Oreochromis niloticus: one gene and its partner. The protein of the gene in region 2 interacts with the protein of the main gene of each other region in a pairwise test. Links are inferred from orthologs where the notes say so. Each region holds a gene or a part of one and is shown on either strand. Other genes may lie near its edges. The genes, in order: zrsr2 and srrm4.

Evidence for each region.
Region 1: the proteins of srrm4 (region 2) and zrsr2 interact in binary tests that used the Homo sapiens proteins (3 or more experiments, as listed by UniProt). The link is inferred for Oreochromis niloticus from reciprocal best matches to the Homo sapiens genes SRRM4 and ZRSR2.

The regions. Positions count from the first base shown.
Region 1 is NC_031965.2:13,767,251-13,783,676, reverse strand, and holds the start of zrsr2 (U2 small nuclear ribonucleoprotein auxiliary factor 35 kDa subunit-related protein 2), read right to left. Parts: upstream 5,968-16,426; 5' UTR 5,696-5,967; coding exon 5,655-5,695; intron 5,162-5,654; coding exon 5,082-5,161; intron 4,988-5,081; coding exon 4,900-4,987; intron 4,792-4,899; coding exon 4,683-4,791; intron 3,491-4,682; coding exon 3,404-3,490; intron 3,007-3,403; coding exon 2,968-3,006; intron 1,945-2,967; coding exon 1,814-1,944; intron 995-1,813; coding exon 781-994; intron 680-780; coding exon 624-679; intron 533-623; coding exon 423-532; intron 337-422; coding exon 1-336. Other genes in the region: transmembrane 6 superfamily member 1, read right to left, coding at 7,957-8,148, 11,013-11,132, 11,228-11,320, 11,425-11,529, 12,345-12,463, 12,677-12,759, 12,942-13,045, 13,128-13,225 and 2 more; BTB/POZ domain-containing protein 1, read left to right, coding at 15,180-15,595. UniProt on the Homo sapiens protein: Pre-mRNA-binding protein required for splicing of both U2- and U12-type introns. Selectively interacts with the 3'-splice site of U2- and U12-type pre-mRNAs and promotes different steps in U2 and U12 intron splicing.
Region 2 is NC_031977.2:30,368,085-30,384,543, reverse strand, and holds the start of srrm4 (serine/arginine repetitive matrix protein 4), read right to left. Parts: upstream 6,637-16,459; 5' UTR 5,975-6,636; coding exon 5,775-5,974; intron 1-5,774. UniProt on the Homo sapiens protein: Splicing factor specifically required for neural cell differentiation.

The DNA of each region.
Region 1 (16,426 bases), on a different chromosome or scaffold from region 2:
TTCGCCTGTCTTTCCACCTGTCACTGTGTCTGGATCTGGACGACCGTGTGTCCTCTCTGTTCTGGTGAGACGGCCTCCTCTCTCTGCTCCTGCTCCTTCGCCTGTCTTCGTCTCGTCTCCTTTCAGATCTCTCCGATCTCACCGGGCTCCTGCTGTAATGACGCTGCCTCCATGATCGGCTCGAATACCACCCGTCTCTGTGACTGCCCCTGACGCTGCGGTCAGGGGACATGTGCAGGTCCCTGTCAGCCTCCCAGAATTCATTCCCAGGGTTTCGAAATACATGCAGAAAGTTGCAGTGCTTCCCTTTAGGGCACCTGTGTCTGTCAAACAATCCTGAGAAGAAAAACAAACAAGCTAAACACTGTGGGAATGTCTTCAAGTGAAACTGTGCATGTCGTCAGCATGAAAAAGTAGCTCACCACATATGGCATTCTTCCACCGTGTAACAGGTGATATCTCACAGTGAAGCTGCCGGCCTGCATACCACCTCCCATTGAATTTGATGAAGGCCTCTTTGCATTGCTCCTCTCTGGAGAGACAACGATTCAAAGAATGATATGTTTTCTCTGAAGTGTTACTTCAATTGCAAAGAGACGGGAAGTGGCTGAGTGACTGCTTACGTGTCAAACTGAACATAAACGTTTCCTCTCAGGTGTGGTTCATAGTTACAGCTGACCTATTAGAGGAGAGGAATAGGTGAAATCAAATAAATGTTTTTATGAGTCTGTTTTACAACAGACAGGATGACGGTAGGAAAGCTTCTTGATGTCATCTCACCTTAAACTGCAACACTTTGCCGACACTCTTGAACTCTGGCAGAACATCGTGGTAGAACTCGAGGAAGGACTCCTGCATCTCCTCCTCGCTGTGCTCCAAACAAGCATCGATGTCATAGTCATCACGGCGCGACTCTTCCATACCGAATGTTCTAAACATTCCGCGGATCATCAGCGTTGGACTGGTTGTAGGATACGTATGTTTCCGAGAACATCTGGATTCATAGAGAGAAGACATTCAAATATGTGGGGAAAGGCCTCTTTAGTGTCAACATGTAATTTAACCTAAAATAACATTCTTCTTGACAGACTAGCTTCTATTGAAATCACTGACACACTCTTAAACTGGTTTAAATGTTATCTCTCCAGCCGCACTCTGTTCATTCAACTCCATCAATTTCCAGTTATTACTGGAGTCTCCCAGGTATCTGTCCTGGGCCGCCTTTTCTTTTGAAATCATCTCCTTCCTCTTGGTCAAATCTTCCATAAATCAGTTTCCATTGTTATCCTGATGACACCCAGCTCTACCCACATGCCAAACTACCAGCACCTCCCACTCACTGCCCTCTGTGTTTGCCTCCAGGAAATTAAATCCTGGTTCTACTGCAACCTTCTCAAATTACAGTGATAAAACAGAGGTTCTTCTCACTGTCTAAACGTAACAGCTATTCATTCCCTGTTGACAACTCCTTAGTTTCTCCCTCGCCTCAGGTCAAGAGTCTGGGGGTCATCCTTGCCAGGACGCTTTCTTTTCAAGGGCATATCAGTGGCATCTCAAAACACACCTTTTTAAACTAGTTTATTCACTCTGATTGCCTTCCACTTCTCACATAAATCCTCTGTTCTCAAGGATCTTTAAACTATTGTAACTTCGCTTTTGATTTTATAGGATTTTTTCTTATTGTTCTTAACTCTTCTGGGTGAGGTGACCTTGAGTGTTTTGAAATACACCTAAAAAGAAATGTATTATTATTATTATTATTATAATCATTATTATTATTAACAAGTCAGAAGAAACCAAAACCCATCAGTACCTGTCTCCAAATCGACACGCTCCAGTCTTGAGGAAGAACGGACAGTTGGCTACGTCACGCTCTGTTCCAAAGTTCTCAGAGCTCACTGTCACAGGAGCCTCAGGGTTCATCCACGGGCCACCATTTTCCAGCTGTAAGACAGGCCATGAGCAATATATAAACTGTCTTAGTTTTCAGTCTTTTATTAGATTTAGAGATGTTTGCAATGACACCAAAGTGCAGTGACACTAGTTACAGTAAACTGAATTGAAAGAATTTAAATGTGTCTCTAGATATAAACAAGTGAAATTAAAAACTTCAGAGCTTCTAAATACCACTTTGAGTAAAATCTAAGGCCAACCTGCGACAGAAAAGCCCATCAAAAATCATCAAAATGAACAGTAGGCTCAAATGAAAGTATCTGGCTAAGTTTTAAAACATTGAAGGGTAAAGAGCAGGCTGAAAAACAAGGCCTAAAGCTTTTATTTGTACACTGCCAATACAAATACTAACATTTAACAATATTAAAATAATATTTTGTCATTAAACCAAGTCTGTTCCAAATCTATTCGGTTAAACAGGAAAAGAAAAAATGTTCACACTCCCGGGTGATTGGATAGAAAAGCAATTTTTTTTATAAAGAAATATATTTTCCATTTCCTGAGAAGTAACTACAAGTCTTACTGCTAAGACTTGTTTACCTTATCTTACATGTCTTAACTCTATGGCTTTTAGGTTTTAAATGTTTTCTTCTTTTTATTTTGTTCTTAATCTCTCCTTTTTATTTCTGTTCTTAACTTGTACTGTGTCTCTTATCTGTATTGCCATCAGTTGTACAGCACTTTGCTTGAAGGTGCTTTATAAATAAAGTTATTATCATTATTATTATTATTATTATTATTATTAATCTGCAGACACATATACAAAATACTATATACTGGAAATGAGTTACTATCATTCTGTGTCTCATTTATTTTCAGGGTGCAGAAAGTTTATTTCTGAAGTCATGATGGTTTGGGAGAATTTCCACTGTTAGTGTATGACATTTAACTGAACTTTATTTAACTGATTCAAGTTAAGTCCCATTAAAAGACATATATATGTACCATATGATACTTTGGGGGGGTCTGTGGCTAAGACAGACAATTTTTACTTGTGTTTGTGTGTGTGAATACCTGATTTTCAGCTTCATCCAACATTTTCTGAACAGCCTCCTACAAATGGTGTAAAGACACGGCTGGTGAAAATGTGAAGAAGTCAATACAACTGCAGCATATCTGTTTTCTGTGGGTTAAGACCACATTCACAGAGACTGAGAGGCACAAAAAAAGCTGTTAATGGGAGGTATCCTTTCAACACTAGTGAAGCGATTTCATAGCTTTCACACAATATAAAAGATACATCCTTGTTGTGAGAGCTGAGGTTTTTCTCTTTGAGTGTATCTCAGTTAAGGAGTAAAATGGTTCAGTCAAGGAAAAGTTGCACAAACATGTTACAAAAGAAACAATCAGCGGGTAAGACATTAAACTGGTTCATTAGCTTAACCTCAAGATTATGCAGAAGAGGATATATATGTCTTTTTTGTTTCTATCCTCCTGGAGCCCATATCACCTCTCTGTCTCGCTTCTCCTGCTGCTTCTGCTCTTTTTCTTCTTGTTCTCGCCTCTGCTGCGCTTCCCATTCCTCCTTTATCATCCGCTACAGACACAAAAAGACATAAAGACAGTTATTTGGAATTTTTATTGCAAATCATTCCCACTGATTCCACTGTGCTGTCATTTCCATTCATTTTGGTGCCATGAATTTCTTCTTTTTTTTAAACATTTCACCACAAACGCAGCTCTTTTAAATCAAGCTGGTATGGCCATCATGCCTGGACTGCCTTTATCCAGTCAGCTGTACTGGGTTTTTATCCCATACAAAAGCGAAATGAAATATAATATGGTTTTAAATTTAAATAATTAAAAATACTCAGTAAAATTCTGATCTGAACTGCAGTTTTTAAAAGCCATTACTCAAACAGAACAATGGATCTGTTGGGGTATCCAGTCAATATTTACAGCAGCAGGATGCTGTGCGCTGGACTGAGCTAGACTAAACTGCTCATGTTCACCAGAATAATGCACTGAATGAAACAAGCAAGATCAGGCTTCTGTTAAACAGGAAATAGCTCTTATTACAACGCATTCTTTGAGGCTTTGGTGGGTCAATGGGAACTGCTGAAAATAGGAAAACAAAACACAGAGTATTTTTATAATGATCTTTCTAATCCTCTCTAAGTCATTATAAAACAGTCATGTTGTTTGTTCGCTGTAAACTCCTGAATCATCTAACCTCTACACCAGTAAGGAACCAAGAACATCTGTTAACTAACTGTGCTGTCAACGTGGCTTTAATTATTACATTTCTTGAATTGTACAAGCTTACTATGAGGCAGTAGTGGTCAGTTACCTCGTTAGGAATGGGAACCCCCCCCCACAAAAAAAACGGCACTAGAGACAATTGCAACACGTGCAAAGCTTTGATCATAACAAAGGGGAGAAATGCCTCCAACATGCTCAAACATTTGACCACACAGTTCATTTGCACGACTGTAACGTCTTTGATACGCTGCTTAGCGACGGTGATGACTCTCGAGGGGAAGCTGACAGCACAGCACAAGCAACGTAAAACTCCTTCAGGTCCTGTTGATTGTAATAATGTTAGCGCCATAATGTATGAATAATCTCCATCTCGTATTAACATTTAGTTGACGAGGACTGCCAAAGCAAGACTGGCTCAGAGGTTCTCTCATATACTTTTAACTACATCTGTACTATATTTTATTCTCTAATTGATATTGATAATGGAATAAGTAACGTTAAATTCCTGTCAGTTCCCATCCCTATACCTCCTCCTCCTCTTTTCTTTTCCTTGCTGTTTCCTCCTTCTCCAACCGCAGCCTGAATTCCTCTTGGGCAATCCGCTCTCTTTCCAGCCACTCTTCATGAAGATGCTGTCTAAAGGTAAATAAACACAAAATCAAACACATCCAGCATGTGCAGCAAAACGTTCTGCGCCGGTATCAATGAATGAGCAGCTTCAGAGCAGTGTCAGTATGGCCCTACCTTTCTTCCTCTGCAACATCATCATCCTCACCGTCTTCATTTACTTCGTCTTCTTCTCCGGGAGTAGGACTTGCTCCATTTTTTAAATCTGTAACAGAGAAAAGGTGGTTGAGAATCTGCTTAACAACTGCAACTAGACAAATGAGAACAACACAACCTGGACTTATACATTTATCACATACCATGTTCTCTGGCATGGGCGAGAGCTTGGCGTTTCCGTTTCCTCCTCTCTTTCCTCAGAGCAGCCTTGCGTTGCTTCTGACTGAAGTGAAAGAGATTGAAAACAATAATCACAAAAGAGGAGCAAAAGGTAGATGGGAGACTAAGCCATGTTATCCCGGGGCTTGCACAGCTCTTGCAAGAGAGTGCACCTTAAAGAATAAAAGTCGGTGTTCACAGCAGACCCTGTGCCCTGTCAAACATAATGATCACTGAACTCTTCCCATCACTGGTGCTTCTGAAGAAGACAGACTTCATGTGCCAATTGCTTAAGTTAGCCATATTACACCACCCTCTACCTTTCCCAATACTAAAAGATCTCACTATCTGCAAAGAAAAGGCTCAGGCATTTAAATCGGTTTCTTTAGTACCACCAGACTCATAAAAATGTATCTAACCTAAGGCTAAATTTGTACGATTATTGCGTTTATTTAACAACACTTTAAAGGCATGCAGATGCCACAGTTGTCTACGTGTCTCAAAATCATTAGTTTGACCAATAAACACGTTCAAAAGACCTACAAAGAAACACAGACCTTAATACAGGAGCAGAAATCACTGGAGTGGACGCTGCCATTGCAGCTAACGGGAGCCAGCTGGTTAGCTTCTTTGGCTAACGTTAGCTACCCAGTGTAATTCTGCCCGCGTTGTTTGTTCTCGCCAGCATGTAATTAGAAAAATTAGAGAAAATCTTCTCTGCTTATACGAAATATTTCTGACGTGGAATAATTTGTCAGGTTAGAGGTACAACTAAAAACATGTTTATTGCAAATGTTAGCTACATGCGGAGCTGTTTTGCCTTCTTTATCTTCTTCTTTGTGGATTTCCGGCAGGCAGGACGCAACGCAGGCGTATTGCTGCCCTCCTCAGGTACTTCCTAAATGTACATCAAGGATTAAATCCTTATGTGTAGTCCATTTGGGTGCAGAACTTTAGATAAAAAACTTTATAAATTCCTAAGGATTCAAATCGATTACTGATTTTAGGGGAAAAGTCTTAATGTTCATAATATTTGTCTCAATAAAATAGCTGGAGCAGTTCATCAAAACATGCTTAACAGTTTCCATCTCTTCACATGTGCAATTTCCACAACCTGACCTCCTCCACCCACTGCAGCACCCATACCATAGCTATAAATTCTGCCGTGTGCACAGAAAACCCCTCATTCAGTTATCTAAACTTAACTGTGCTTCTGAGTCTTCATCTCTCCTCTACCACCTTAGAAAATGCTGAATTAGCTTTTGCTCTTCTGTTTTCCTAAATCCTTAAATTAGTTTTTGGTCTAAGAATAAACCATGGTGCTATGGCTATCCTGTGGAACTGGGGGCTAACCCCACTTTCTCCACTCACAACTTCTCCCCCTTCTTACTTAATACTGAAAACAAAACTCCCCTCTGGTTTAAACTAAAAAAATAGATTTTTAAAAAGGAATAAAAGGTCTGCTATACATTCAGTAATATAAATTTTAAAGTCTAAAGTCTGTGTGCAAAAAAGTCTGTCTACAACTTTATTAACTATCATCAGAGATCATTTGATAGAGCATCTGGATTAACAAATAACAAAATACAGGCCAAATATAATAACACAGCATATAGCACACAAGAGGGTTATAAAAGACGCAACGGATGAAATAAAGAGGTGGTGCAATGGCAGTACAGGGGCTATTATTTTTTCCATAACTATTATTTCATTTCAGTGCTATGCTTTTCTTGATCACAATTAATCCCATTAAGATGAATGCAGGATTGTATGAGGGCTAGAGAGCGCCTAAAAGTAGCTGTTTAATGCAGGGAGACAGTGCTTGTGAGCTCCTTCTTTTAGAGAATATAATCAGTGAAATCACTGAACCTAGAGCAAAAATGATTTACATTGTATATTATAGACACACTAAAATGTTCTGCTGGCACTAGAGTGTAAAGTGTTTTTAAACGATGCACAGTCTAAGTAAAGCTCGGTAGTGTCCACTAATCTTTCCTCTTGAGGTAATAATTATTTATTTCTCAACAAGGTTATTATTATGAATTAGAAGTAGATGTAAAAAACAAACCAAAAAAAATTTAGTTAACTACAATAAAAATAAAAACTAGACCAAAAAAATGAAATTAAATGATTTTGTGAACTTGGAAAAGAAAAAAATAAATAGAAAATATCCTTAATTTTGGTATTTGCTAGTTTGTTACAGATTTCATTGCATTAGCTGTAAGGATTTTCCTAAATTTTGCCCCTGACATACAATAATAATTAAAAAGTCATTAAAAAAAACCTAAGACTAACAAGGAAACTACTAAAAACTAAACTTAAACTAATCATTTTCAGACAATTAAAACTAAACTGAATCAAGGGAACCCACTCTGCAAACTGACTGAAACCACACTGAATAAAAAAAACTAAAAGTTAAAAGAAATTTAAAAAAATTGCTATTTGCTGATAAATGCTGTGAAAGGCACAGACACAGAAGGCACTGCGCAGAAATCTCAGCAACAAACGACAGTTTTGTTTTTATACCAAACAATGATTTTTGTGAGTCATATGAATCTGTTACACAACTCTAACGCACCATTGCCTGCAGTGTAACATTGTGTGTGCCTTATGTGGATGCTGCTGCTTTACACACAGAGATTTTCAATAAAAAGCAGCAGATCAAAAACAGTAGATGGCACAATTTCCATTTTTCTTCATTTCTAGCACCTCCACATAGCCCCATGAAGTTTACAGGTGGCAGTTTCCTCTCTAAAATAGCAGCCGCTAATAACTGCAAACACAGCAGGAATTTGCAAGTTCTTTATTTTAGGCATCTGTGGCATCTGTGGCACTCTCTCTGTCCCCCCCGACAGTCTGTCATTCATTTTTCTTCTCTGGCGCTGTCCTGAGGAAGAAGGCAGGCTGTGTGCAGCAGCGGTAGCACAGAGCCTGAGGCACCAGCATGTACAACACATTGACCAGCAAGAAGACAGGCTGGCTGTCAACAGGTACTCTGTATGAAAACGGTGTCCGTGTGTGAAGAGATGCACCGATGTGGGAGAACTGGGCCTGTGAAACGCAGCAGAGAGGGATAATAAGCATGTGCTTCACAGCTGGTATGTTCACCAAGATTCTTATATACACACTACATGGACAAAAATGTTAAGTCACCTATATATTACATCTGCAGGAGCTTGTTTGACATCCCACTGTAAATTCATACGCATTACAATGGAGTTGGTCCCTGTTTGCAGCTATAGCTTCCACTCTTCTGGCTTTCTACAAGATTTTGAACGGTGCCTTTGGAAATATATGCCCTTTCACCCAGAAGAGCATTTGCAAGGCCTGACACTGATGATGGACGACAGAGGTCGGCTCACAACCTCCATTCTAGTTGATCCCAAAGGTGGTAAATGGGGTTAAGGTCAGGGCTGTGTCAAGTCAAGTTCTTCCACTCTACTCATCTGACCAAACCTTCATGGGCCTTGCTTTATGGCATGGTGCACAGAGATGTTGGGAAAGAAAAAGGCCTTTCCCTAAACTGTTAATAGTCAAAAATGTCTTTGTAAGCTGAAGCTTTAAGAGTCCCCTCCACTGGAAGTAAAGTGTACAGGCCAGAAACACAAGCCCCAAAGCATTATCCCTCCTCCACCAAACTCCGCAGTTGGCCCAGTGCAGTCAGGCAGATGACGCTTTTGGTCATCACTCCACAGAACATCACACTATTGAACTTTCAATATCCCAAAGCAACCCATAGATGCAAAAGGTACCTTCTAAAACTCAGAGCAGCACAATATGTTTATTCATCTAAGATCCTGTACAGTTTTTCTTTTACTATTATACGTATATAGCCATTTTTTTTATATTCTTCCATCTTAGATTCTTTTTTATATTTTATATTTTTGTCCAGTGGCGAGTGAGTGCACCAAAATTTTTTTTTACTGTACACTAACTGGTGAGTGTGTGTGTTCTGAATGACAATAAAGTAGCTATTGTATTCAGTTCCTCTGTGTCTCCACTGCTCCAGAGTCCAGTGACAGAGTACTTTACAACACTATCTGACGCTGGGATGCAGCTGCTCAGACAATTTTCATACTGATGTTAATGACAGAGGAGGTTTTTAACTGCAGTTAATCAATCAGCAGAGTGTTGGTGACGTTTATCCACTATGTGCCTCAGTGCTCTGACCCTGCTGAGGCATCAGATAGGCTGTAACTGGCACTGGTTAGCTGAGCTCCTGTGGTTCGCAAACTTTCTACTTTGCAAAAAAAAAAAAAAAAACACTTACAGCTGATGCTGAAACATTTAGGAGGGAAGAAATTTCAGACACTGACTTGCCTCAGTGGTGGCATCCTATTACAGCAGCACACTCAAATTCAGTGAGCTGTTTAGAAGGACCCATTCTTACACAAATGTTTATAAAGAGTGGCTGCACAGCCCATTACTGAACGAAACACCTGAATTCAGTGACTAAAAGGTGCTGCCCAATACTTTTGTCCATACAGTGTATCTTGATCTTAAATATTTTGTACATATTTAAGAACATTTTGAGCTTATGATTGTCTTTTTTCCCCCTTTTTTTGTAATTTAACTACTGGAAGTAGTTAACATCTAAGTCTAAAAATGAATAGACTTAGATGTCAACACCAAGGTTAATATAGTTAAATAAAACTAAACTAAAACTAAAGGTAGATATGGAAAAACATGTTAGTTAACTGAAATAAAAAATAAATAAAAAAATAAAACTAACTGAAATTGCTTTGTGAACTTGGAAAACTAACAAAAATAAAATAAGAATATAGCGAAAACATCCTAACTGAAACTAAACTGAATACAAAAAAATCAAAACAGATTAGAAAATAAAAAAAACTAACATAACTGTGGTTAGCACAGGTTTTTAGTTGTTGTTTTGTTTTTCCTGTTAGAATCAACCTACATAAAAAAATGCTTTCCCACAATTATTGTTTCCTTTATTTTAAATGTATCAAGTCCCACATAACCCCAGTTATCTGGTATAGTGAGACCATCTGGGCACATTACTGTCTTATTATCATGTATCAGTAAATTAAACACCATTCCAAAGTCATAAATCTTATAGGAAATCCTGTGATGCTGAAGCCCACATATTCTTGCTGGATGCAATGATCTATCTACAATAACAGACCAATAAGGGCTTACACAGGAAACCCATTTGAAACAGGCAAAAACAAAGTAACAGCTGTTTTAGAGTGAATTATTCCTTTACTGGACTGACGATGCCTGCATTCTGGCACCACCACTGATCCTCATATGATTTTCAATCTAATACACTTCTGTCATTTACCTTTTCATAGAAAGCTGCTGACACATGACATGTTTCATAGCAACCAAGGCTGCCAGAGGATCAACCTTCCTATTTATATCCTGGCTGAACAGCTGACATTTAAGTGAATACCACCAATACCACCATTCCTCTTGGTCTGAAGTCAGCTTCTGCCCTTATCCTGCCGATGAGTGACGTGCCAGCCTGCAGCTCAAACACAATGGCTGCATTGTGCAGTGGAGATGAGATCAGCGCCATAGCCACTCCCACAACTCTTCACTTTCCATCTTTAGATGTAAATAGAGCCACTGGTGTCTGTCAGCTCTGAAGAGTACGCTAAACAAAGACCAACTTGCAATCACTACAGAGGAGAAAGTTTACCGAACTGGCCAGGAGCCGGCTCTCAGTCTCTGTGTAACGTTACATAATCTACCTGGAACTATGATGTCATGTGGGAAAACAAAAGACTGCAAACGACTCTTTCACAGAGTTGACCTTCGTTTTTAAAGCCTGGAAACTCTTTCATCACTTACTCATTTGGTTTCCAGATATTCAGAACAAGTTAGAGATGTTAGGCGTCTAATGTAAATCATACCTGGGACCCCTCGGTGTATACAGTGATCAACAGTACCTGTGCCAATGCTCCCGAGTGTACAAGAGTCAGGTCTGGCATCCAGTCACATCCTGGGACCAACAGCCCATACAGAGTAATGATGTAGTAGGGCCCAGAATACAGCATGCTCACCAGCATCTGACAAACAGTGACACAGTTTACTGCTTTAGATGTGTGGCTTAATATTACAGCATTAGAGTGACGTTTTTGGTGCGTTTACTGCACCGTATTACCTGTACTTTAGGGTAGGCTGAAGGGTCTTTGAGGTATGGCTCATACTGTTGTGTGTAGTCTTGGCACCATTTGCTGGAACAGTCAAGAACAACCTCGAACACATAACATAACAGTTTGATATGTGAGAGACACCCAACGCTAAGAAAGTAATCTACAGTTGTGTGCATGCTGGGCAAGCCGATCCCCTTTTTCTTACCAGGCCTCTGAACACACAGAAAGCCAGCGCTGGAATGAGGTAGATGATGAATACCAAGTCCACAGGTCTGCGGCGCAAGCCTGCCCTCTGAGCCTCCTCGATGTCCTGAGAACACAACATTTGCAGATGCAAAGTATGGATGTGTTTCCAGCAGATAAGACACTTTAACCCTTACTGGATGTTTCTGTGTATATAAGGTAGATCGCAGTTATTTTACAGAGGCTACTGTAAGTATTGCAGTTTCAGAAAGAAATGTCACCAATAAATGGGCATCAGTTATGTTTAGATATATCCACTATCACAGACATAGTTGCCTAACTTATAATGTACTGTACTGTAATTGTTGTTGACATAACCACATAACAATGCTCTGTAGCTCAACTAAAAGCATGATGACAAACACTTCCTTTACTTTATTTTATGTCTTTATCCCTCAGTTCTTTATGTAAAGCGACTTATCAGCTCAAAACGCATCAGTCTTTGCTGAAGAAAAAATTCACCTCAATGATATAAAACAAAACACAGTAATAACATATTGTACTTTACCAAGAAAGGCTCTTCCAGTTTAAAAATATACAAATCTGATGATTATACATGCCATACTGTTCAGAAATATGAACAATAAAACAGACAGTTTTTACCCCTCATTCATTACAGCATTAAATAAAGCATGGCTTTGAATTATTACTCACGGGAACGATGGAATATTGTGAACATAGGAACTTGCAAACACTTTTGATGAATGTGTCATTTGGTGTCGATGACAATAAAAGTATGATTCTGATTCTGAGAAATGTGCCCATACATTTTTCTTGCACTGTTTCTGTGGTGGTAATTACTCATCAGAATCATCTCACAGACACCACAGACAATAAAAGTAGGTGTTTTCTCTCTGAGAGGGGCGGCGGTCAGGTTCTTACTGTTAACTCAACGTCCCGTGTAGAAGGCTGACTAAAGATCCGGAAGCAAGCCCACACCGACATTGAGATGTACAACATATGGAGGACGAAGAGAGGGCCAACGTGGGTCCCATACTTCCCTGGGAAAAAATGAGGGGGGGGGGGAGCCCATTAATTCCATGTGGGAACAGAAGCAGATATGATCTAGTTTAAATCCCTGTAAGCAAACGGGATCTGAAAGTTTTGTGTGTGTGTGTGTGTGTGTGTGGGTGTGTATGTGTGGGTGGGTAGGGTGATGTGGGCTACCCTACACAAGCCATCTAAAAGCATCCCATTATTTTTAGTGTACTTACCCACAGCATTCCCAAGAATGTAGACCATTGCACGCATGAGAAAAGATCCTACCCAGTAGAGTCCAATAGCTCTGTAATTGTCCCTGCCCAAACCATGTAACAAAGCCAGATGATCATATTGTAGTTTCAAAGAATTAGGTATATAAATACATTATCAAGCTTATCTTATCAAGCAGTATAATATGGATTGGATTAAGTGGCAAATATTTTCCTTACTTAGTGATGCAGCTGTGGTGAATAACCTTGGAAACAATACAGGACTTACCCCCAAGTTATTGCAGCAATCATGAGCAGATACATGAGATAGTGCACGCAGCCATCCCAGTAGGATATCATGTGCCCATGTGCTGTGTTGATATGTGGATCTGCCTGAAACACGGTGTAGATTTATCAGTCAAACTGTGAGGAAGTGGGGGCATTCATAATCTGGACGCAACAAAGCAACACTTGCCTCTTTGAGGTAAAATGTCACAAATCCATCAATGATGTTGTCTTGCTCCAGTCCAATGATCAGATTCACCACACTGAGGAATGCATGCACTGCATACACTTCACAGATACATATTTGATACATTAATTTCTAATTAAAGACAAGATAACTTGCAAACATTACATGCTGCTTTGAATATCACAGCTTTTTAAATACTGCAACAGGTTTTTATATGTGCAACATGCAGAATATGAGTCGCAGCTCGAGCTTTGATCTGTAATGGTGCTCGCTCACTGTTGGTCAAAACAAGAGAACTTGCATTTGAGAAATCCTACCATAGAAAAGTGGATCTACTGGAGCCTTCTTTTTAAGTATAAAACGAGCTGAAATGGCCAGAATAAGAACTGTTGTGCACCAAGCGAAGAAGAAAGCTTCAGCACTGCATGAAATAGAGAACATCTTTAAAAAAACACATGATAAATCATTCTCAGATTAGTGCAGTTACTCCTCGCTACTGGTGGTGTAAGCCGGAAGTCCAACATTTAAAATATGTGAACCAGATTCCACGTACCTGTTGCTGTAAATGAGAGAATTGAATAAATAGCAGATGGGGATAGACATCAGGGAGAGCAGGAACACTCCCGTTCCCACAGACGCGCTCATTGCGCACCGACTATGAGCGATTTGTCTGAGCGAGAACTGAAATTTTTAAATGAATGAGCCGCAGAAAATGTTCATGCTTTGCTTGGATGGGAGGAAAGTCAGAGTGTTGCCGAAAAAAAAACTTTGAGCTCAGCCCCTGCGTGCATGCTCAATCTTGTCTGGTCTGTCTGTCTGCTCTCCTCTCGCTCTCTTTCTCTGTTTACCTACACATGCACTGTAGCCAAAGGAGCTTCAGCTTTCAGATGGTGGAGGCGGGCCCTCACCTGGAGAAGAAACGTCAAAAGAAAGTCTTTCATCAGATCTTAATGTCGTAAATTAACAATTCTCGTGTCTTTCTCTTCTTCTTCTTTCTGAAACCATTTTTTGCTCTCTTTTATCTCTGATTTGATGGAAGTGGCGATTTTTTCATTCATTCATATTATTCTATACATCCAAATACTAAGCTGGAGGGAATAGTAAAATAATATATATAGGGGCTGTGCAAATGAATTTAAGTGATAGTCCGTGAAAAATACTAAATTTTTTACAAAATAACAAAATAGGACAGGGACGCCACAACTTTATATAAAAAAAAAAATATTTAAAAAAATAAAAAATTAAGATGTATTTTCTCGGGCTGGTTCATTGTGCTTAACAAAAATATATATTTTACCATCTGCGAAAAAAAGGGGGTTTGTTTGTTTGTTTGTTTAACGAAGAGAAACTGACACCCAGCGGTCAACTGGGAAAACACTAATCGTAGCACCGATTTGCAACACTGTTACCATGCATATAGAACAAGTATTACAAATGTGTTAAAAGCTTAATATCTGATAAAACGTTTACATTTGATGCCTGACCTTTATAATTCAGTTTTTGACGGCTTATTATTTGTTTTTATAAATTACACATCTATTTATTTATTTGTTTACATTTTTAAGCTTAAATTAATGCACCAATTGCATAATGATCAAAAAATATTTAAAAAATTAAAAAAATAAAGTGTAGTGCCTCTTGCTCACACGTTCTCCCACGTTTGAATGTATAAATGCTGCTTTTATTTAGCATTTTATTATTTTAATTGTATTCTATTTAACATATTTGCCGATTGTATTGTGCCCAAAACGGTCACACAGATAAAAAAAAATATGTATGTTAAGACACTGTTCAAGCTTTTTCTTTGTTCGTTTTTTTCCATCTGGAAGTGAACAATAAAGTTTCAGGATAAAAAAAAAATGTGTTTTGGAGGAAGTATACCTACGCCACTTCCGGAGACTCTGAAGCTAGCAGGTAGCTAGTGATGAGTGATGGCGTCCCCTGCGATGGATACCACGTAAATGAATAACGACAAAAACATTACGGCGAGTGCGTGTCTGCGTGTCAATAACGAGGCCGTTTCTGTGGAAGTACACTTAAAAACAGTGTGTCGTTATGGCGACCGGGAGCAGTGGTGGCGGATTGCCGTCAAACCATGACGGTCAGGAGGCAGCATCCAACTCGGCTCATTGCGGAGCACCAGCAGCGCTCTCCAACGTCCCAGCCTCCGCTCCTACCCCGTCCGGCTCCCCGCCCGTCCTCGGCCTTCACCGGGAGCCCATGTACAACTGGCAGGCGACGAAGAGGTCCCTAAAGGAGCGCTTCGCCTTCCTTTTCAACAACGAGCTTCTCAGCGACGTCAGGTTCATAGTCGGGAAAGGCAGACAGGCCCAGAGGATACCGGCCCATAAGTTCGTCCTGGCCGCTGGCAGTGCCGTTTTTGATGCCATGTTTAACGGAGGGATGGCCACGACCTCTGCTGAAATCGAGCTGCCTGATGTGGAGCCGGCCGCCTTCCTCGCGCTGCTCAGGTAGGACAGGTGAACCCCATGCCCTGCCTGTATTCGAGACCACCTAGTACCACACTATTTCCAGGTGGTTAAAAACCAATATGCATACCTCATGATCTAAGTGTACATAAACATTAAAAACAGCATTTAGAAGTTAATCAAAGTCAAGGCGCTTATATAAAGTTTACGTTCTGAGCTGTTGTTGATACAAAGAAGGTAACCAATTATAGGCCTAATGAAAAATACAAAACCTCGCTCGAATGTACTCTATTATAAAACAGTTTATCACTTATTAATTTAACTACCTTATTTTAGAGGTCTCACAGCAAAGTGACCTTCAGACCTTTTTTTTTAATTAAGCAATTTGAAAGGTAAAAACTCAAATACGAACTGCTAAGAAACTAATAATTAGAAGGGGTGGGTGGGGGAGGGTATATTGATACAGTTCAGTTTCACGATATTGTATCGACGCAGGGACACCAAATATCGATATTTTATTAGATGAATGAAAATAAACAGATAAATAATAAGTACATGAAAACACCCTGTAATACTACTCTACTAAGAAGAGGGCTCATCTCCTACACCACCATCCTAAATTAGAATTCTGATTTAGGATGGTGGTGCAGGAAAAATAATGCTAGCCAAGCAAACTTACAATAAATGGGCTCAACTGAAAAAACCATCACCACAAATGATGGACACACTCAGCATGACAAGGTATATAATTGCCAACTTGACCCCATTCAATCGCAGACTGATAGCCCACCCACTCCATCTTATGTCAACACTGATGGTGGATTTTAGTGACATTGTTGTTATGCTTGACAATCTCATTTTGCAACAGAAAAA
Region 2 (16,459 bases):
ACAATCACAAGCTATGAACAAACCGCCACTTAATCAAAATAATTTTGAAGAGAAAACAATGACAAACAGTATAATTATAACCCAAACTGTCCCTTTATTACAGACAACAGAACGAGCCCACATACTTTAACTCTGCATGTGAACTAAACCAGTGAATCTGCTGAGCGAATATCATTTATTATGTTGTAAATATGCCTGTATCAATCCGGTGTGCAAGAAATTACAGTGCTGGAATTACAAGCATATAAGTTTGTAAACTGCAGTGAGTTTGATCATATCCAGCCACAGACCAGCTTTTCGTTTTGCAGTTAAATTGCAGTCCACACAATGGCAGAGGTAGACTTATCATCCCATATGGAAAAGATATATATAAATCTTATAAAGTTTGTATCTGTCTTGTGTGAAACTTGTATGAAAAGCATACAAGAGTGAAAACAGATACAAGATCCCTTGAAAAATTATATAAATGAAACTTGTATCTTTTGGATACTTACTAAAACAATGTATGAAAGTGGCCACTTTCATGAGTAAATCATATAAGCCTTATATGATTCACTATATGAAGTAGGCCACATCTTATGCAAGTCTTTTATAAGTTTTTACTATTTCTTTTCCATATGGCATATTTCACCAAATCTGGAAATGCAACCTATTCACAATGAGAAAATGTGCATTTTGTTTAAGGATTTGTATTACATTTAAGTCTTAAGTGTAATAAAACCAGGGCTGGACTGGGACAAAAAAAATCGGCCTGGGCATTTTGACTAGAGACCGGCCCACCAGGTATTATAGGAAAAACCATAAAGCTTTTGAATGAAAACAAACTCTGTTGTCACAGTGATGTACACTGTCCTGTTGGTATATATGTATCAATCTAATAAACTACACCATCCTCCCTATTCTGGTATTCTAAACAGTACTTAGCCGAAACCCAAAGACTGCTTGGTCAAGTTAACCTCCTGAACTATATACAACACATGGTGGAAACCTGAAATTAAGACAGAGAGGACTAGAGGTGAGACATGATCATTACTGAATATTAAAAATAATAAATGACAGATTTAGATATATTTTCATGAACTATTCATTTACCACATCAATAAACAGCATGGCAGGGTAAAATATTTTTTCTAACATGGCAACCTTTAAAAAGTGAAAGGAAAGACAGGTGAGAAAGAATAAAACTTAATTGACTTTTTGATGGCATTTTACACACAGTACTGGTACAGAATCTGGGAAAATACTGGCATCATATACAGTACTTATTTCTGAAGAAATTATGATGGGACCCTGAAAAAAAATTACTATGTACAATAATGGATTTCTATACATTTTAGATCAGATGAAAAAGTTTGTTGTAAGATTCAGATAATTATTTATTAAAAAATAGACATTTTAAATGAGAATAAGAAAGAAAAGTATTTCTTTGTGCCCCCCTTTCCCTGTTAATGCCCTGCCTGGCCCCCTGGCAAAACTTTGCTAGACCCGCCCCTGCACAGTTACCAGCTGTCAGCAACATAAAAAAGGATCCTGGTGTTATTTGTCTCTCAGAAACAGTTCATAACTTCCCTTCAACTCATTCATGTCACCTAAAAGGTAAACCTGTTTCTCCATCACCTGTTCAGCTCTGATGATTCATTAAGGACATCTCCTGGTTTCATCTTCATGTTTCCCTCTCACCAGATATACAAACCGATATCATGACCAGCAGCTTTTACAGCTGTGGCTCCAGCAAACATCAGCTGATACTAGAAATTAATATTAAATAAATTCTAACAACAGCTGATCAAGCTTAAACGTGCTGCTGTTGTTTAGCGCGACATCCGCTGGTTTCCTCTTTCTGGCACAAAGTGGGCGATAAACAAACAAGAGAGACGATCAGCTGATCATTGATCAGTTTCATGATTGAAATAACAACAGGGGAGAGAGGAAGAGAGAATGAGAGAAGAAGAAACAGCTGCAGCATAAAGACACAGAATAAATCCAGCTTTGTGTCTTTTTCATTCTAGCTGAAGTACGGGACAAATCGCGTTCCTTTTCAGCTCAACACAAATATTGACTCTGAATACCAGACGATTCCGTTTTTTCCTGGACGGTTGGAAACTAACTAACCTTATGAATAAAATAAATTTCAACATCGGTAACATCATAGCACCCGCCCAGCAGTATATAAACTCCGTCATGCTAGCTAGTACACGTACGAGTTATTGTAACTGACTGTAAAAAAGTCAGCATAACGAAAATAAACTACACCTAAACTTGGTTTATATCTGACCCAGATAGACTGCAGGTCATAAGTTCTCACCTGAAGTTCAGTTCACCTGATACTCGGACCAACACCAGCGGCCGCCTCGGGTCTCTCCTCCTCCTGCCTCACCTTTCCGTCATCCACCTGCCAGCGTGTTGCACCTGCTGGCCTCCACCACTTGCTAATGTTGCTCAATCTGTGGAAGCTCCGCAATAGCCACCACCAAGCAACTGAGTTATTTTTACACATCTCCCAGCATCTGGCCAATCCACCACCTTTCAGTGTTTATACCGTTATGAAACACCCCCCCCCCAAAAAAAACCCCATTGGCCCATAAAAACGAAAATCACCATCGGCCCACCGGGCAAATGCCCGGTATGCCCGATGGCCAGTCCAGCTATGAATAAAACTGTCCAGCAATGACATATTTTCTATTTTATGTGTTTTCCAGCTTCTTAAATTCGTGGTATGGTTGTGTCATGACCAATCTGAGAGGTCAAAACCCAAGGATATGTAAATGCTACTGTTTTTCTGTCACTCAGAAACTACTGTTTCAGCCTTAGATGTAGATTTCAGACCGCACCCAACCCCATTATTAATGGCATAATAAAAACAAAACAAAACAAAAACACATTAAAGAAGCAGAAGAATTGTTGTATTCAAACTTAAACTAAAGTTTTGAGGCTGCAGTTAGCTTGCATTGCATTCTGTTTAAAGGTGTTCCTGTTATTTTGTCCGTCCTGCTGTACGTTCCCACCGGTGCTGTCAGAGTACAAGCCCCTCCAAACACCCTTTCTCTCCCTTTCTCGTTAAACCAGCATCTGCTGAGGTAAGAGGCCTGAAACCCCCTACCACACACGCATACACACACACCCACACATACTCACACTTCACCCCCTCCCTTTCTTTGCAGTCTCTCAAGCTTGCCATCTGCCACAGAGTTGGACAAGACCCCACTAATATGGCAGCCACACGCACACACATACACACGCATTACGAGCTTACAGCCTTATTTCAAATCCTCACAAACGCTGAAAAAAACTGCACAGACACACATGAACGCACACGTATACACACACTCGTGGTCACACGCTATACAACATTAAGTTAGGCATGCTGCATTTTTAATGAGAAGCCCCCACGAGCAACACAGCTTGCAGGGTCATAATGGTTTTGAGACAAACCCTACCCCACTGCATAGAGCTGGTGAACTCCTCCCCTCTTCTGTGTGACTGGCCTGAAGAAGAGGATACAGGGAGGACAGAGGGACAACAGCGGACTCTAATTACTCCTCTGTGGCTATCTGGCTCCTCCAGCATTTTATTTCAGGAGTTACGGGAGAGAGTGAGAGAGAAGGAGGCGAACGGAGAGGAAAGCCGAGGATGCCACAAACAGACAGACTCGTGCCGATTGAACATGAAGCATCACCCTGTGGCTCTCCCTCAGTCTCTTCTCTTCTTTCCATCTCTGCTTGTTGTACATAATGCCCTCTCGCACTCACTGCAATTGTTCATCACCCCTCAGTTATCCACAGTGAATAATAATGTCTCCTCTTGGAGAGAAAGAGGCAGAGGAGCAAGCCTAAGGCAATGCATTCTGATGGTCTAAGCATTCCCCAGTCACCCTGTGCCTGGGCAAAATCAACAGTGCGGTAGGAAGGGAGCTAGGATGTCCTGCATCCATAGTCTCTGGGTGTTGCATTTGTTTGTTTTGTTTTTCTCATTATTTACAATCTGTATCACCCAAGCCAAACTGTAAACATACACAGAGACAGGGCGAGAGACAAACTCTGGACAACAGGGGCGCTGCCGTTGTCTTTCACAAATAGACCCAGGCGAATTAGCAACATTATGTCTTCTTCTCTGTGGGGACATTTGCTCTCGCCTGCCCCTGCCATGCCGCCATCATCATCACTGTCACCCCGACGGAGCCCGTGGAGGGGCAGAGCCACTTGAGGAAAGCTTCTTTCCTAGTGAAGCTAAAGTTGAATAGACAGCTGGGCCCCGCTCCAGAGTCTCCAGCTATTTCAAAAAGGCTGCTCAGTTCACGGCAGCCAGCCACAATACATTTCTTTCTTTCTTTTTTTTTAATCAGAGTCCATTCAGTTTGCTTCTAATTTATTTTGCCAGGTTCCCCAAATAGACTTGAATCTGTCATCTGCGCCAGGCTATGGTTGACTGACAGAAAAATTGTGGCTACAATTATTTGGTTAGATTGCGGAGCTGGGGCACAGTGGAACAAATGCATATTTGATCACTTTCTTATAATAAAAAGTCTTTTTTATCCATATCCTACAGGCCAATAAAATCTTTTATAACCAAGCCATATGCAGTATTACGGTCCTGCTGTAATAGAAGCCATTAAGGACACATTATTTGGTTCACTGTGTCTTTCGCTTGCCTGTGCCAATGTAGGATGAAATGGGCCATTCTAATCCTCATTAACATAGCTAATTTCACATAAGAGAAAGTTGATAGTGGGTGTCAAAACCATTCAAAGGTCACCCAAGCAAGCTACACCATTTGACAGATAAGTATATCCATGTGCCCGTGGCTCTGTGTGTGTGTGTGACTGTGTAAGAAGTATGTATGTTTGAACATTTATTCCATTTGTATGTGCCGTTTCAGTTGCAGCAGGGTAACCTCCTCTGATACATTTGAGAAATAGGCAAAGCAGACAGAACAGTGCCTGATAACATGGATAAAACTGTCAAAGCTAGCAGATGATGGTTGATCGTGCAGACAGGAGCAAGGATGGGGGAAAAAAAGGGAGCAGAGATATGCAGGAAAAGGGCATCAGACATTCATCCTCCCCTAAAGGCTTTAAGTGCTACAGCTAACCTTTGGTCGAAGGGATGAAAAGGGGGAAGAAAATGTCTAACATGTTGCTCCTTCAACGGAGGCTCTGGCACAGCGCCATGTCACAGGGGGACAAAAGGACAAGTCTGACATTAAAAGCACAAAAAGTGCAGTCACGTGACCTTTAAAGGGGTCAGATAATTGAACATCAAACTCTTCAGGCCAGCTGTGTTTGGCTGCGTGTCACATGTGGCTGCATACATTAGTGGAGAAAGATCATCCAGATGGCTGCTGGGTGATAAATCAATAACAAAGACATGTTTGAGCTAGGCTCTTACACGACCCCTGTATTCGCTGATTTGCTGATGTACGGATCAAAAAAAATGTCTTGGCAGGTGTAATTTTGCACACATATTGATTACACAGCTTTTTCAGCTCTCTATATTACACATTTATCTGTATCCTTACAACAAAAATTAATCCAGGTGCGAGGTGATTAATTAAATGTCTTTGACTTTTATATTTTTAAGGCATGCTTTTCTAGAGGAAACTGTATGAACTGGCACTTCTTGTATGTATATAAAATTAAAGGAAAGTGTGTATCAACTATATCAGCAATAGCTCCACTACCATGTGCTTGCAAAGTTTAGGTTTAAAGAAAAATGAGAAGTTTGAGCAAGCATCCACGTAAGCTGCTGAAGTAAATACTGTAAACTGTAGATACTCACTCAGTCACTCTCCTACTGGCGGTGATGCTAGCCACAATGACACTCTCTGGTCTTGGGGTGGCCACAGCCTTGAAAGTCCCTTTCCAAAACTTCTCAAAGAGCTGCTTCTCTTCCAGCTGGAAGGTGGTAGTGCTTCCCTGTGATCCCAGGGACAGAGAGGCGCCACAGGGACCAAGCTGGAGTGAACGTGGGGGCTGCATTTCTGCTTCTTGCGCTCCAAACTGAATCACCTTCAGTCACTCAGCCGACAGTCTCCCTTCACTCTCATACAAACGCGCGCACGCACGATACCGGTTGTTGCTCAGGAACTGTCCAAGTACTGAATCAAACCGAGCAAAGTGCAGCAGCTGCTTTGCTCCGTCTTCTCGCAGCAGCAGGTCAATGTGTCAGCGCGTCTGTCTGCTCTTCACTCTTGAGCGGGAGCGTGCGGAGAAGGACAAAAGCTGACCCTCTCCAACTAGAGACCGGGTATTGTTCTCCCAGATGAGGAGGGGTAAGGGAGATTGTGTTTCTCTCTCCGCCTCTTCTGTCACATCTGCTGCTCTTTGGGATGGGGTCTGGGTCGGGTTTGGAAGCCAAAGCGCTCCTTTTTGTCCCTTTCGGCAGCTTCACACAAAATTAGGCATTCCTTGACAATAGATGGAGCATGCTTCAGTCGTGAGAAGTGAGAGACCTTGTGCTTTTCTTGCTGCTGGAGTGCAGCGTTTTAGTGTAGAGATAATTGTGCGCCCACGCACACAGGCTGAGGGTTGAGCGGGTGTCGAGGCAAGTGTTGCAGCGTGTCTGAGGGCAGGCGTATCTGTAAGTTGGAGAGTGGGTATGCCAGAGTGTGTGAGTGAAAATCGAGTGAGAAGCTCAGCTGAGAGTGGGTTGTTTTGTGTCTCTCAGCATGTGACGTCAAAATTGGGGGCTGGACACTGAGTAAAGGGGACATCCTCCGTCATCCTCCCTCACTCCCTCGCTGTGGTAGTCTCACTCTTCTAAAGCCTTGATTAGATTCACTTTTCATCCTCAGATATACTGGGAACATTTTTCTCTCTCTCTCTGGTTCTTTTAATCTTTCTGTCTCTCTGCTTGGATTTCTTCTTCCCTCTCTGCCTTCCCTCCATATTTTCTTCCTTTTCCCTGTGCCTTCTATTATATACATTTTGAAGGGTTTTAAACCTACAAGAACTAATCAGTTAGATCATAAACAGAAAATGAATCCAAAATTGTTCCTAAATAATTAAAGAGGACCTATTACGCTCAGTTAGTATAGTTTTAGTCTTGGACTCCACCAGAGTAACTTTACAAATAATCCTAACGTATTTTATACTGAGCCTTGCTGTAGCGCCTGAGTTTACCCACTGTCAGCATTTGGTAAATGGCAAATGGACTGATATAAATATATATAGAACACTTTTCTGTTCTAACTGAGCACTCAAAGCACTTTTTACCAAAAGCCACTACACTTTTGTTCTATGCATTTAAGTACTTTTTGTCCCACACTCTCACAATCCCCATGTGCAATTAGGGATTATCTTGGCCAAAAAGACTTCAAGGATCAAGCCATCAAACGTTTTTCTGATGGAAGATCCACTATACCTCCGAAGCCACAGCCATCTTGGGCTCTCTTCTTTCTTTTTTTAAGCTAAAGTTGTTTTGCTTGGCTTCTCTTTGTAAAAACTGAACAGCAAGTGGTGGTTTTTGATGTGCTTACAGCAAGAGCTCTGTCCCAGAGATAACTATATAAGGGATATTCACTCTCAGTGACATCATACTGACCCAAGAGTAAAAAAAATGTCTTTAAATCTTTATCAACCTGCTCATAGGCTTCTCAACAGCTGAACCAACAGCTTGTATCAAGCTTTGTAGGTTGTGTTTCTATAATCTTTTGTATTTTGAATATGTAATTACTGATATGTCTACTAGTCTTTATTATGTTGCAAACAGTGTAAGTCTGTCTTTCTTATCCTCTTCCTTCATGCGACACACACACAGACACACACACACACACAGACGATTGTCTCGTCAGTATCTTGGACAAAAGGCCGAGTAAATCAACATAATAAAAGGCCTGGCTCAGTGAGGACCAGCCGGAGCATGTGGCTGACACAAACTTCCCCTCGGGGGTTTAAGCTTTTTCCCTACCGTCACTTACCTCCTTCTCTCCTCTTTAGTCTACTTCTACACGACACAGAGCACAGAGGCACAACTCAACAACCCCCTCCCCAGCTCTCCCTTCTTTTTTCTCTCTCTTCTCTTCTTCACTCTGTCTCTAATGCCGCATATCATCTGCTGGTTGCCATTGCTGAGGACTCTGGAAATCTTCGAGGGGATTACAGACTACTACAGGGATGCCACCCTGTTTATGCTACAACAGAAAACTCAGTGTAATACTTTAAAGGATATATCCTATTTATAGACTTTTGGAATTGCTTGCAGGCTGTAATGTGATAGAGCAAAGCTCACTCATACACAAATTTAACTTTTATTACTATGCTTTTTTCCCTCAATATTTTGAAATATTTTGTAGCAGTATATATATTTCCAAGGAATTTAAGATGGTGTTTACAACATTACTAAGATGTTTCATTTGAGCGCATTAGACAAGGACTGATGGGGTTGTATAGTGGTAAGCAAGAGGGTCCTGGTTTGAACCTGCTGGCAATCTGGGGCTTTTTTGTGTGTTCCCTCTGTGTGGGGTCACTTTGGGTACTCTAGTTTCCTCTTCCAGTCCAAAGACATGCATGTTAGGTTAACTGGTGATTCTAAATTTCGTTTGGGTGTGAATGTGAGTGTGTATGGTTGTCCATCTCTCTGCATTAGCCATGTGAGCTGCCCCTCCCTGAGCCTGGTTCTGCCGGAGGTTTCTTCCTGTTAAAAGTGCTTGCTCATATGGGGGCATATGATTGTTGGGTTTTTCTCTGTATGTATTATTGTAGGGTCTACCTTACAATAATAAAGCACCTTGAGGCGACTGTTGTTGTGATTTGGTGCTATAAAACTGAATTGAATTGAATTGAGAGACTGCCATCCTACTGATCTCTCCCTGTTATGACAGGTGGGATAGGCTCCAAACATCCTAAAATGAATAAGTGGTTGTAAATACGCAAATTGTAAATAAATTGTACAGTTCTTGTTCCATGACACATGACAAAACTGAAATAAATACAGAAAAATAGCCCTTTTGTGTTCCCTTTTGAACTTTACTGTGGAAGATTTTATATTTATAATATAAAGAATTTGGTAGTGTTTCTTTGCAGACAGGCCTTAATTGTCCAAAGTTAACTTTGCATTTTAGAGTCTCAATAGTTCACTAAAAATCCATTTACTCTTGTGTTTGGATACCACTACACTTGAAAATCTAGGTGTCAAATCCATTCACACAGCTGATTCCAGATTCCAAATTAATCTGCTCTGCTTGCCTCTAACAAGATGTTTCGCTCTGAGCTGTGAACAAGATGTCATAAACACAAGCTTTGTCTCGCTGTGCTGACTACATTGTCGTGTGAACCTATCTTTTCTCTGATCAAGAGTTGTAGGCATAGGTGGGAATTAATATCAATGCCTCCTAATACGTATGCACAAAGACACGGTGCTGTACCTCGTCTGGATTAATAATGCATATATTAGCTGATAACACAAAACCTTGATGTATAACAACGTCAGACACTTAATGATAAGTGGCTGCTTCATCAGTGTGCTTTGCATAACGATGGAGCAGAGGTACTCTCAAATCAAACCAGAGGGCATAGACGAGCAGGTACAGCAAAACATAGAATATGTTTCATTTATGGTCGGGAATATCAAACAGCTGTTTCTGCCGTAAGATGATGTTAAGGTTATATTGGAGGGCTGTGCTGAGGGCAGAAGGTTGGGTTTCCTCCTGCAGAGTGTTTTTATGAAGTGCTTTTGCTAGCAGTGGTTTTATATAAAAAGCTCAGCTGAAGGACACTAAGCCGTTGCAGAAAAAGTCATTAATTTGTGGAAAGACAATAATTTCATCCTTTAGCCTTGATGTTGTAAAGGAATGAAGTGACAATAATTGATTTTCAAATGTTACATGACATCACATACATCTAAGAGACTTTGTACAATACTGTGCTTAATGAATTTATGCTCAACCATCAACATAGCATCAAAAAATGAAATAATTACAATTATTTAGCTTTTCTTTGCATCTAGCTTGTCAACAACATCTAGCTTTTTGTCATCTCTTTAAGCCTATTAAAAAAGGCAGCTGAACAGTCCTCTGTAATTTTCTGGGTTAGTTGATACACAACCGGAGCTAAACAAAAAGTGAATCCACTCAAAGTGAAGCACATATTATTTGAGTTTTTCAAAAGAATCCGAGGGAATACTTGAAAACTTATTGGTCAGGCTGAATGGTTTTCAGATTTCAAGCTGACAGTAATTGCAGTTGTTAGAATAGATGAATTCATCTTTTTTTAAGTCAAAAAGAAACAGGCATGACAAATTGTTCGCAAATGTAACATTACTTTTTCTTTATCAATAACAATCAAGCTTTCTTTTTGTGGCACTTCTGCATAAATTGAAAAAAAAAAACAGAAGCAAAGATTCACCTTTTCTTTCAAAGCCTCGCCATATTTTCTTTTCACTGTATTGTTTTCTCCATCTTCACTTTCAGCATGCACACCTCCACATTACTTCAAGAGAAATCAAGTACTGGTATTATCTGGGGATGGGCTGTCACCACAGCATTCAGAACAGAGAAGCCTACTTAAAAAAAGTTTTGAGGAGACATTACTGTATTGCATTTTTCATTTACTGTCACTGCTTTAATTAGATTTGGTTTTAGTCACACAGACCTAGAGGCATGTTAGAAACCTACTGGCAACTACCAGTCACTAGGGAAAAATGTGCATTCCCTTAATGGTTGGCAAGTGTTGGCAGTTGCTAGGTTAAAATGGTCGCAGGGAAGTATATGGGAAGTATGAGGTATGTCAGAACAGGGTTTGTTATTAAAAGTAAATTGAACATTCATTGGTCTAAACTAAAACTAAATGAATAAATAATCCAGTGAAAATACAACTGGGAAACCTACCAATTGCTAAAGGGATAGTAACTGAAAGATTCATTAAATTTAACAAATAGAAATCAAAAGAATTGTATTATATGTATTCATCTTTGGTTATTATAAAAAAAAATCTTTACCATAGACATCATATAAAGTTTTATTAAGTGTGCACACCCAATAACTCGTTTGTAACATCTTTCTGAACTTATATTAAAAAAAGCATTATAGTTGTAGATGGAAGTTTGAACACGGGCAGCCTGACAACTTACAAGGGCTGTTGCACAGCGATAGCGTTTAACATTGGTGCAGTGGTTTCAATGTGGGGATCAGGTTCACAGTGCAGCCACTGCAGGTGGGGAGGGGACAACCAGGTGAAGAACAGCCTGGTTGAAAAAGTCCAACAAAGACTGTTCTTCCTAAGGAAGTTGAAGCAAGCACAGTTCTGCCAGAAACTGCTGCTGAACTTTTACAGGACCACCTGAAGGACCTGAAGGATCTACACCTTGTTTAAGAATCCACGATGTGTGTAGTAGGCTTGCAGCTCCCACACCTAGAGGATCTCTACACCAATAATCTAATGAAGACGACATCATTTCACACACCTCACACCCTTTCACCTTCTATTTGAACTGTTTTCATCAGGCAAGAGATACAGACCTATGGCATCCCACACAAACACTCTGAGGAAAAGCTTTTTCCACCAAGCTGTTGCCTCCATAACCCCTCACCCAAACCCAAACACTCTATAATCACTGGCAGTGATGACAGCTTTCAGGACTCTCATTCCACACTAGTAGTTTGCCGATACTGTTGTGTGATAATTGGCACCTTTATTCTAATAAAATTCATCATAGATCATTTTTTATTGTTACTGAAAGATTAAAAATTGTGCATGGGCCTTTTTATTCGGCTTCTAAAATGGGGCCAGAAAAATTTTGAGAGCCACTGTGTTACTGTGAAGGTTAAGTGTACCATGGCCTTCCTTGATTGAAGATGTGAAAAAAAATTACTGGCTTTAGATATTATATATTTTAATTAACCTTATGTCTTAGATTTTGATGTGCTAGATAAGCTACACATATTAATAATTGTTAAAGTGTACTGAGCAAGTTCATTTTACTCAGATGTAACCCCAAAAAGATATGTAAAACACGATTACCTTATTATGTCAGATATATGCTGTTGGTCCTACAGACACAATGTTTTTTCAACCTGCAGAACTTGTCACGTGCTCTTTATTGCTTGCTGTTTTTCTAAATTTTGGAAAGTACCAATTCATTATTATTCATTAAATTCACATCATTTTTAGTTTTTTTTAGTCTCTTAATTTACTCCTGACACTTTACTCCTGAAACTCCTGACAAAAAGTATTTTGATAACAGTATCAAATTGGTGGAAAAGGAGGAAGCCCCAGCCTGCTCCAAATACCATAGTAGTTCACACCCAAGCATGTAACTACAAGGCTTCCTCACCTACAGCTGCCTCGATGAACACTGAGGCGTGTGAGAGTAAAACAATTAAGTTGCAAAATGTATAAAATCATGAACCTCATTGTGCTCTACACAAGCTCTTTTCAAAGGCATGCGAGCGCTTGAAAGGACAGGGGAGTTGAGATGCAGAGAGAAACTGAAGTGTACTTTGGCCCAAACTGTTAACCACAGTGAATGTTGAAGCTCTTTGGATGTGAGTACACTCAAAAAGTTTGTCCTTGGAAACTGTTTTGAAAAGTGAGCGGAGTTTTAAAATTGCACTTGCCAAGTGATTGGATGAACCATCAGCCTATCACTGTGTTTCATGGACAAACTTTAAAGTGTTGCAGTGACAGCAGCAGAAAACAACAGGACTTCCAAAAATGATGCAACTTCAGAGCAAAAGGCAAATATTCAAATGCATATAGAGAGAAAAACAGTAGGAGACTGTGGGAGAAAGACACTGCAGAGGAGAAACGAGCACAGGTAGGTTTACAATTAAGTAAAGTGTAAAAACAGAAAGATCAAAAAGGGCCATCAATACACAATAATCTAACAGTAAGACACTGATTAAACTAATTAGTGTTTGGAAAGCAGTCATAAAGTGGTGAAGGAGAAATGGAAGTAAAATAGCAAATGTAGCACAAGCAAAAAATTTTACCAAAATAAAACAGGAAATACCTATGACTGAAATATAAAAAGCACACATAATACAAATAATAATAATTCTATTTGTATTTTTTGTTGACGCCACCTTAGAACACAAAATAATAATACGAATGTAAAAAATATAGAATATCTTAAACAGGATGGTTATAGCGGATATGCAAATAGTTTAAGCTTTGATTTGAACTGTGTTGATCTGACCAAGGTTTAGTGGTCATGAGTTCCAAAGACAAGGTGGAGCACAGCACAAGGCTCTGCCACCCTCATGATGTTAAGTTTGAAGCGAGGAGTAGTCAGGAGAGAAGCTGAAGGCGAGCAGAGGGCACATGAAGGGGTGTGAGGCTGAAGGGTGACATAGACCAACAGAGGGAGACCAAAATACACGAGACAGTGAAAGAGGTAAACATTCAGTGACAAAACTAAAAGATAATCAGAAACCTTAATTTGAAATTGCTCTTTTAAAATCCATGCTATGTCAGGTGAAGTGTGTTTATATGAAAACATGCAATTTTTATGATATAACTCAGATGTGACTTTTCATCCCATAGTAATAAAACAGAGGAATAAAACCAAGGATAATAGCCAACTGCTTGTACTGCCCAGGCTCATTACACAACTAACATGCAGACTCTAGAATATTTCATATTTCCTATTTCATTTTCAGCACAGTGTAATCAAGCAAGGCAGGTGAATAGGCGGTCAGGGATGGCTGCGCGAAAGAAAGATCCAGCTGCATGGGGCAAGGGTAAGAGGACACCATCTTGGCAAATTAAATCAGCAGTCTCCATCAGGGCAAACAAACTGCAGGCTTTGAGGACGACATAGCAGATCTGCTTTGCCTGGGCCCAGAGGATACAGAATGGCGCTCATCTGTGGTAAGTGTCACGCTGGGCCGTGAAATATTACGCAGAGCCCCTAAAGATGAGCTAAGGGTCACCTCATAAGCTGCATTGGAGAGGACAGCAGTCATGTTGTGAGGCTCACCCAGAATTTAAGGACTTTTGGCACAAAAGGAGAAAATAAGCTGTGTCTTTATAAGGTAAAAATTCCACTTTTTAAAAATGTAGCATTTGCTTTAACAGAAGTTTGCTGGATTTTTCTCCTCGTGTTCTTTTTGAGCTACTAATAACAAACTATAAAAACTAAATTACTGAGGTGTCAGTGAATAACGCTTTTGGTGTTTTGTTTTCTCCCCTCTGTTTACACAAGCTATTCACAAAAAAGCCAGACGGCAAAGATCCAGTTGATGCAATTGTTGCTTTATTCAACTTGCAGTGCTGCCCTCCAGCCCCTGAAGGCTGAGTCCTTTATCTATAAATACACTTGGCAATTAAGAGAAGGTGGAAGGCATTGCCATATGTCGGATGTTCATTTGCTGAGTGAGACTTTCTGCTACTCCGAGAGGCCCTGCTGTGAAACTGGCCAAAGCTCTTTCACTCTTGGTGTAGACATTTCTATTATGCACTGCAGAAAAGGGGAATGCTTCGAAACCTAAAGGTTTTTTGCAAACAAAAAATAAAATTTAATGAGCAGTTCTTCTGTTTGAACTATTGTAGAGTCTATTCAGCATTATTTTACCTCTGATCAATATCATTGACCATTTACTAATAACCAAACATTGTCTGGATTAGTCAGTTAACCTTCAGATATTTGTATTTCTCAATTAATATGACCATCAACACAAAATAATGATCAAAACCGGCCTTATTAATATTATGTTAATGTATTAAATCACCTAATCATCAAAAATCAAACTACATCACCGCAGTGTTAAACACCAAATCAACTAGTCTTAATCTCTTTCTCTCTCTTATCATGATATGACTGTTTTTTGCACAGCACAATAGAATTCATGATTCTATTTACCCTTTACCTGTGTGTTTTGGTGTTGTTTTAGTAAGTGAAACATGGCCATTTCACATGCCTGATAGACTTGTCAAATATTTATTGCAGCAGTTGTGCAGCACAGAGGCAGCTGGGCTGCAGGAAGTGCTTCATTTCTGTTCTTGGGCACAGTTAGCAATCACACCAGACCTGAAATGTGACAGAGTCCAATTGAACCGTGCCCGTGACTGTTTCTTCATGTGAGCCAGAGAGCCGTATGCTGAACCGTGCCAAAGCTGTCTTTGTGCTGATGCAGTCTTGACAAAGTGCTCTGGGATGCTTTCACTTCAAGTGCTCAAAAAAAATCACTAGTAGCGGTGTGATAAGCCAGTTCCAATCTGCAGTCCTTACAGAGCACCGCGTTGCTGGGTTTCTGTGTAAAGTACTTTCACAATTTAGATGATTGTGGGCATGTTGGGTTTTTTCTTTTCTTTTCTTTTCTTAGGAGCAGCTGGGGCATCTGTGGCTTGGGAGGTATGAGTGTGTAAATGTTTGATATATAATACAAAGTGCTATGTGCATAGAAAACTGTATGAATAGGTGTATGAATGTGGCTTGTATTGTAAAAGTGCACTGAGTGGTCAATAAGACTAGAATGGCGCTAAATAAATGCCATTCCATCCACCATTTAGTTTGTTGTCAGGGAAAATCAATGCCTCGACAGGACAGGGCCATTTCTGCGATGCACCACTGGCATAATCAATAACATAAATTACATTGATAAGGCATCCCAATAGTAATGTAGTCACTGATGTTTTTTTTTAAGTTTCTGCTCATACTGTCTACTTGAAACTCAACACTGCACTTCTTTGAATTGCCAGCAATACAGCTTTCAAGTTATGAACTGGGGGTACTGTTAGGTTGGAAGGGCACACAGATATTCATACACATTATAGACAATACACAGATAATATACACTACCAGTCAAAAGATTTAGAACACCCCAATTTTTCCAGTTATTTATTACTATTCAAGTTGTTCAAATCTAACGAATAGCTTGAAATAATACAAAGGTAAGTGGTGAACTGGTTAAAAAAGGTTAAAAAACAAGTAAGGTTACCCAAAACTGAAAAATAATTTACATTTCAGAATTATACAAAAAGGCTTTTTTCAGGGAACACAAAATGTGTTAACAATTTAAATCTGTTCTGCAGCAATGCAGGTTGATCAAGCCTTAAAAGCTGGTACTACTAATTTCTACAGGTGTTCCAACTTTTCTGGATTACTTACAACCCCCTGTCTGCACAAAAGCAGTGCTGGAACACACTGTGGTACCATACCCTTGTGAGCATCAGATGAAAAGGATTGTGCTACAGAAAGTAGTGTGTTGCTACAAAAATTGCGTGAAAGGGGCAATTAAAAATGTAAGAGAGACTGACCATCATAACACTTAAAAATTTAGGTCTTTCCTACAGAGAAGTTGCAAAGAAAGTCAAAGTGTCAGTGAGTACAGTTTCCTTCACCATGAAAAAGCTCTCAGAAACTGGGGCAAACTTTCACAAGAAGAGGTCTGGCAGTCCCAAAGCCACAACTGAATCAGAGGACAAGTTTCTGTGAGTTAACAGCTTGTGTGATAGGCGGCTCACAGCACAACAGCTTCAAGCACAGCTTAATAGTGGTCGTGTAAGCAAGTCTCAGTTTCAACT